2 linked regions of the Canis lupus familiaris genome follow. The protein of the gene in region 1 purifies or fractionates together with the protein of each later gene. This does not show direct contact. Links are inferred from orthologs where the notes say so. Each region holds a gene or a part of one and is shown in the gene's direction. Other genes may lie near its edges.

Region 1 (3,821 bases):
CTTTACATCCTGCCCATCTGACAGGAGAGGAAGCACTGAATCGCCATTGTTGTGCCCCTGCCATTACATTCATTTGGAACTTGCTCAGTCACACGATGTACATTGTAGGTGTGTAGCCAGTCTCAAAACCTAGGTGCTTAGATTTGACTTCTCATTTCATGAAGTTTGTCTCCACTGTTTTCTCTACTCAAGCCTATGGATGGATTGAAAGTATTAGAAATTATCTTATTTAGAGAGAATACTATAATACCTGAACAACATTAAGCAAATTATCAAATAATTTGTAAGATGCATAGAAAAATTATAGTTTTTCAGTATTAGAGTACATATTTTTCTGAGAACATCACTGCTTTTGTGACATTTGTTGTATTGTGGGCTTTCTGGAATGCTAAAATTAGGTTGTTTACCTGGTCACTTCAATGACGGAACATTATAAAAAACAGAGAAAGAGATTTTAAAGTATTTGGAACTCACTCTGGCTATTTAAGAGAATATAAAGTTTTGGATGGGAAGGTTTTGTTTTTAATGTAAGAGACTCTTACTGAAAATTCAGAAATTAAAATGAGCCTTTTTTATTTTAAATGAATTAATCAAAATATGCCTTTCATCTGGTTTATTTTGATATCAGTATTTGTTCTCTAAGAGCCACTGCTAAAGATTCTGTGTTTATCACAGATAAAATTTATTTAAAATTTTATAAAATTATATAAAATTTAGACCCTAAATAATGAATACAATTATTTGTAGGGACATTGTTAATGTAATTTGAGTGGTGGAAAAACAAATACCTGTGGAAACTTTTTTTCCCACTTTTACACATAGCATCACATTAGTATTGTCCTTTTAATGTGTATTTTATCCAAGATCCAAATCTGACGTTGCTTCTTTCATTTTTAGTCGTACAAGTCAGCTGTCTATATCAACACTGTTGGAATTATGCAAAGGCCAAGCAGGAGAGTTGGCAGTTGGCAGAGAAATACTTAAAGCTGGTAATAACTTTTTACTTAATATAGCAGGTCTTACCATTTTCCTTAGCTGACTATCGAATCCTTTAATCTCTGATAGGGCAATCCTTTAATCTCTGATAGGGCAGTTGTATACAGGACTTTGGAGTAATTGTGTAAATGGATTTAGTCACCTAACAATAGAAATATGAATTAACCAAAGAAATTCTTTTTTAAAAGATTCATTTAATCTGGGGGGGGGGGGGCACGTGCGCACATGTGTGTACATGCATATAGAGGGAAGGGCAGCAGGAGAGGGAGCAGACTCCCCACTGAGTGCAGAGCCAAACACAGGGCTTGATCCCAGGACCCTGAGACCATGACCTGAGCCGAAATCAAGAGTAGGATGCTTAACTGACTGAACCACCCAGGCGCTCCTAAGGAAATCTTAAAATAAATGTAATTAGAATATTATTCTTGGCATTATGCTCTTTTGATGTTTTGTTTTAGATTTTATTTATTTATTCATGAGAGACGCAGAGAGAGAAGCAGGCTCCATGCAGGGAGCCCGATGCAGGACTTGATCCTGGGACTCCAGGATCATACCCTGGGCCGAAGGCAGGTGCTCAACTGCTGAGCCACCCAGGCGTCCCTGTTTTAGATCTTAATATCACGGTTTTTCAGTTATTTTTACTTTCCTTTTCATAGGATCCATTGGTATTGGTGGCGTGGATTACGTCTTAAGTTGTATTCTTGGAAACCAAACTGAGTCAAACAACTGGCAAGAACTTCTGGGCCGCCTTTGTCTTGTAGACAGACTGCTGTTGGAATTTCCTGCTGAATTTTACCCTCATATTGTCAGTACTGATGTTTCACAAGCTGAGCCTGTTGAAGTCAGGTAATTTTTCTTCTGCAAATAGATTACTTTGTTCTTCCTTCCTGCCCCATCCCTACCCCCTAAGAAAGACACATTAGATTTATGAAAGACTCAAACTACAGAGCATATGTAAGTTACTAATACCTTAATCTTCAATTGACATAAAAACCTCAAGTCTAGGCTAATTACAAATTTATAGATCCTCCACAAAAAATTATCAATCCTTTGTTCTGAAATGACATTTTTAAATGTATACGCTTTAAAGTAGTACCTTCTTTGTATGTGCGTACATTTTGCAGTAATTTTGACTTGTCTAGTAATTGAATGTGTCTTTTTTTCTTTCAGGTATAAAAAGCTGCTGTCCCTCTTAACCTTTGCTTTGCAGTCCATTGATAATTCCCACTCAATGGTTGGTAAACTCTCCCGAAGGATATATTTGAGTTCTGCAAGAATGGTTACTGCAGTACCCCACGTATTTTCAAAACTATTAGAAATGCTGAATGTTTCCAGTTCCACTCATTTTACCAGGATGCGTCGTCGTTTGATGGCTATTGCAGATGAGGTGGAAATCGCTGAGGCCATCCATCTGGGCATAGGAGACACTTTGGATGATCGACATGACAGCTTTTTGCAGGCATCCGTCCCCACCAGCTATCCAGAAGCCACAGAGAACAGCCCCCTTGAGCGTACAGACCATTTAGAGAAAACTGGAAAAGGACTGTGTGCTACAAAACTGAGTGCCAATTCAGAGGACATTACTGACAGACTGGGCAGCATTTCCGTAGGACTTCCCAGTTCAACAATGGAGCAACCAAAGCCAATGGTTCAAACAAAAGGCAGACCGCACAGTCAGTGTTTGAACTCCTCTCCTTTATCTCATCATTCCCCGTTAATGTTTCCACCCTTGTCAACTCCTCCTTCATCTGCCCCATCTGCACCACCTGGCACTGGAACAGATGTCTCTAAGCATAGACCTCAGGGATTCACTCCCTGCAAAATACCTTCTGCATCTCCTCAAACACAGCGCAAGTTTTCTCTACAGTTCCAGAGAAACTGTTCCGAAAACAGAGACTCAGATAAACTTTCCCCCATTTTTACTCAATCAAGACCCCTGCCCTCTAGTAACATACACAGGCCAAAGCCATCTCGACCTACCCCAGGTAATACAAGTAAACAGGGAGATGCCTCAAAGAATAGCATGACACTTGATCTGAACAGTACTTCCAAATGTGATGACAGCTTTGGCAGCAGCAGCAATAGTAGTAATGCTCTTATACCCAGTGATGAGACAGTGTTCACCCCAGTAGAAGAGAAATGCAGGTTAGATGTCAACACAGAACTCAACTCCAGTATTGAGGACCTTCTTGAAGCATCCATGCCTTCAAGTGACACGACAGTAACTTTTAAGTCAGAAGTTGCTGTCCTCTCTCCTGAAAAGGATGAAAATGATGATACCTACAAAGATGATGTGAATCATAATCAGAAATGCAAAGAAAAGATGGAAGCTGAAGAAGAAGAAGCTTTAGCAATTGCCATGGCAATGTCAGCGTCTCAGGATGCCCTCCCCATAGTTCCTCAACTACAGGTTGAAAATGGAGAAGATATCATCATTATTCAACAGGATGTAAGTATAGTCTTGAAGAGATTAGAGAATTTCCTTGGAGCAAGCTAAAAGAAATCTAATTCAGAAATGATGCTTTTCACATGAGTTAATCATTAGAAGCAGTTTTTCACATGGAATTATACGACAGTTTTGTATCGTTGCTTTACCACAAACACTACTTGCCTATTTCAAAGGCATTTCTGATTGATTCTGTAATGGTGATCACTTCTGCTTTTGACACTGGTCACCAGCACTGTCCCTTCAGAACTTTATAGGTGGTTTGGGAAGCCAGACTGAACAAGAATAATACTTTGCCAGACTAATTTTACAAACTCTTCCTCTTTTAACTTAACAGTAAAAAGATTGCTTTCATTTAATATGTAGACACCGGAAACTC
Region 2 (3,651 bases), on another chromosome or scaffold:
AGGTGAAGGTCCTCTTCTCTCCTTCCTGTCCTATTTCCACCCCAGTCTCACTCTCCATAGGTATGTCTCCTTCAAGAACTTTCTATGTGGGCCTATGCCCACATATGCTCCCAGTACAAATGTCTGCCCCTTTATTTCACACAGACGGGATTCCGCTCTCACCCCAGAATATTCTCCTCATGTTTTCATTTTCACTGCCTCAGGTTTCTTTCTAACATACTTTTTCCCCTCCTCGCTAATCAGTAGCATCCTCATTTCCTTGTTCATGATGGAGCCAAAAGAGCAGAGTAGTTTGTTGGTTTTCTGCTATTTCATATTAATTTGAAAGGCATGAAACTTTTGTGTTTTGGACCCTCTGCTCACTCCTGTATGTCACTTAGGGCCTTCTGCCTTCCTCTGCACTTCAGGTTGTGGTCCGACCCCTTCATTATTGCCTCTTTTCCCACCAGGGGTATGGGTAGGGGAAGGTGGGAGGAGGAAGAAAGGATGGTATTAACCCCTGTCCATGGAGAACAGTACCAGTGCCCTCACCAGAAGCCCATCTTCTGCTCCTGGTGGCTGCCTTTGCCTGGGTTGAGTCCCTGCAGATGAAGGAGCCGTGGCTGAGGAGTGGGCTTGGTTGAGTGTGTTACTGAGAAGGACTTCAGTGCTCTAGAGGCACTGAACGTTTCAAACAGCTCCACATAGCTCCTGACAGAAGTGGTCCCTCAGAAGGGCATCGTGTACCTCGCCCGGGTTACATGGCCGTGGCAGGAGGCTAGTGTTACCCACATGAGCCTGGCCTCTTATGCTCCTCAGCTCTCCTGTGTATCAGAGACGGGTTTTCACATCAGGATGGGCTGATGAGATCAGGGCATAATGTGGTATTGAAGGTCACTGCCTTTTTATTCTTCTTCCCTTAAATTAAGAACTTATTGTTCTGATTATATAAGTAAATGACAACCTTACAGAACTTACTAACTAGAAGAAAGTAAATATAACTTTGCCATTCTCATGGTACCACTGTGCTCATTTTGGTGTATTTTCTTCTAGTCCTTTTTCGTGTGTTTATGTATTTTTTTTAAGGCAATTACCTTCTTTCCAGTATTTCCCAGGCAAAGAAGGTAGCTTTTCTGAGGAAAATTGTTTTTAATAGCACATGTCCACTCGCACTTCATATCATCTGTGTAACACCTCACTGAAGTATAAAACTCCATAAAATGGGGTAAAATCCCATTAGGTTGAATCATCAGACAGGGATCTTTAATTGCTCAAGTAGTTTGAGTGGCTGCAAATGACATGTTTGGGGATCACTTTTATCCCATCGTCCTTTCCTGATACCTGCCCCAGGTGAGAGGCACCCATCTAGGTCCCTCCGTGGGCCTAGCTCTGTGGCAGTGACTGGAGCTTTGGGACACCTCAGAGGCCTTGCTCTATGTCCTGGCTCTGCCATTCACTGGCTGCATGCATAGATAGCCCTGTGGCTTGGGGAAAGTGCCTTAACATTTCTGAGTCTCAGTTTCTTCATCTATAAAATGGGGACTTGAAATAAAACCTCCCTCAGCGGGATCTTGGGAACAAATGTTTTATAAGCTACAATCCCCCCACCCACCCTGAATTCCCCTCCTTGTCTGAGTTGTGACCTTGCTGTTGGCTTTCTCTGTCATTAGCGGATGATCACCAGGCTCTCATTTGGGACATCCAGCAAATGCCCCGGGCCATCGAGGACCCTATCCTGGCCTATACAGCTGAAGGAGAGATCAACAACGTGCAATGGGCATCGACTCAGCCCGACTGGATTGCCATCTGCTATAACAACTGCCTGGAGATACTCAGAGTGTAGCGTTGGCAGCGCCTTGCCCACGAGGCGGGGGCTTGTGTGTTTCCTGCCTCTGCCCCATCCCCAAAGTAAGAAGAAACGTGTTTCTGGTGGCCAGTATGTCTCTCATTGCTTTGCACCACTGTTACCAGAAGCTGCTCTAGGAGTTCCTGGTCAGTCATCCCATCACTGTCTGTGCCAGGCTCAGTGCTGTGTGGCACCTCCTCAGCCCAGGGCTGAGTTTTAAGATTTTCTCTCCTTTTCTCTTCTCCTTTGGTTCCTCCATTAAAATTTTATGTATATTTGTTTGTCAGCTGTTGTGTTAATAAGCATTGCAGGCACCGGCTATGTTTGTATTCATCTGCCCCAGATGTCTCTTACCTGTCTGCTGCCCAAGGCAGCAATCTTGTGTCCATGTCATGTCAGTACTTAAGTGGGAACAAATACCAATCTGGAGTTGTCTTTCTTCCTATTATCAATGTCTTTAACAAATTTCAACTTTGTATATTTTTTACCTATCAGGCTAATTTTTTTATGAAAAGAATTTTACTCTTCCTGGTTTCTTTGTTTGTCTCCTATTCCACCCCATTAGCACTTCCTCTCTGCCCTCAGTGCCTGGATCTAGCACTGGGCTCTCGACCCCATGAGCAGTTTGCCTTCTTGAATCACTGCCTGAGTGCAACATACCTGACCAGGAGTCCCAGACCGCCTTGGTGCTCTGAAGTGGGCCAGTCTTCTCACTTTTTCTCAGCCTGGCTCTTCTCAAGGGCATTCTGGGCTCCAAAACAGACACGTGAAGCCTCCGGTTCCTTCCTGAAGCACCTTTGTTCGACCCCACCAGGACCTACAGGGCATGTGTTAGAGTTGAGAGAGACAGCGTGCCTGACTTGGAGGGAATAGCTTCAGAAAAGCTGAGCTCAGAGTGTATTTCCAGTACATCATTTCCGAGTCTGTTTTTCCCTCTGGGTGTAATCCCCAGGCCATTTACTTTCATGTCTTGAATGATAGGCAAGCACAATCTGTACGCTGAACCTTAGTATCTCTGTTTGGTTAGTTTACTATGACTGATGGTTGACCGCTCTTTGAGTGAGAGAGTCCTGCTTGAGAGACTTGTAGTCTGTTTGTCTGATTCTGAACAAGATCTCCTTGAGAGTGTGGGGGACTGTCAGCTCCTGGAAGGAGTGGCCTGATGGGCTGCGATAATCCCAGGCCATCAAGTATATAGATAGCTATAGGGCCAGCCAATCATTGCACACCTGTCAACCACCTCCCCCCGGCCCCCATTATTAGGCTCTGAGCAGTATTGGACTTGCAGGCTGCAGTGTCTGTTTCCGTTACATGAATGAGTTTCACACAGGGGGCTTGTGTGTGATTCCAGTGGTAGATGAGTCTTTGGGCTGGCAGGGTTTGGGACATGCTTAGAGTCTTGGGGGACTTTGGTCTGTCGCATTCTGCCATAGGGTTTTGAGCCCCTCTGGACTGTGCAGCTGTTAGGTAGGAGAATAGCAGACCTTGAGGCTGGTGGTTTTGTCCACTTGGGTTCTCATCTGCTCTTGAGAAACATAACAATTTTGTTCTCCTGGGCCCTTAAACTCTTGGCTGAGTCTCCTTTTCCAGAGCAGATGTATTTTTATCTGCAAAGTTACAGTTCTTTGCTTTACTACACAGGCACCTGTCCAAAGAAAAAGGCTCTCTTCTTAGTGTATTCTCCCTTCTACTTTTTCACTTTCTTATTCTGATTTTGAGGCTCTTTAGCTGGTCATCCACTTGAGGTTGACTTTCCTGCATTTACTACCACAGTTGCACTGTGTCGTTCAGCAGTGTAAAGTGAGCAGTTCTTGGTTAGAACCCTC

What was found.
Region 2: the proteins of MAP3K1 (region 1) and DCAF7 purify together in Homo sapiens (affinity purification with mass spectrometry; 3 studies listed by BioGRID and IntAct, with this or other methods). This does not show direct contact. The link is inferred for Canis lupus familiaris from reciprocal best matches to the Homo sapiens genes MAP3K1 and DCAF7.

The regions. Positions count from the first base shown.
Region 1 is NC_049223.1:43,166,124-43,169,944, forward strand, and holds part of MAP3K1 (mitogen-activated protein kinase kinase kinase 1), read left to right. Parts: exon of another isoform or gene 1-193; intron 194-897; coding exon 898-989; intron 990-1,023; exon of another isoform or gene 1,024-1,138; intron 1,139-1,652; coding exon 1,653-1,842; intron 1,843-2,166; coding exon 2,167-3,445; intron 3,446-3,808; coding exon 3,809-3,821. UniProt on the Homo sapiens protein: Component of a protein kinase signal transduction cascade. Activates the ERK and JNK kinase pathways by phosphorylation of MAP2K1 and MAP2K4. May phosphorylate the MAPK8/JNK1 kinase.
Region 2 is NC_049230.1:15,336,518-15,340,168, reverse strand, and holds part of DCAF7 (DDB1- and CUL4-associated factor 7), read left to right. Parts: intron 1-1,649; coding exon 1,650-1,822; 3' UTR 1,823-3,651. UniProt on the Homo sapiens protein: Involved in craniofacial development. Acts upstream of the EDN1 pathway and is required for formation of the upper jaw equivalent, the palatoquadrate. The activity required for EDN1 pathway function differs between the first and second arches.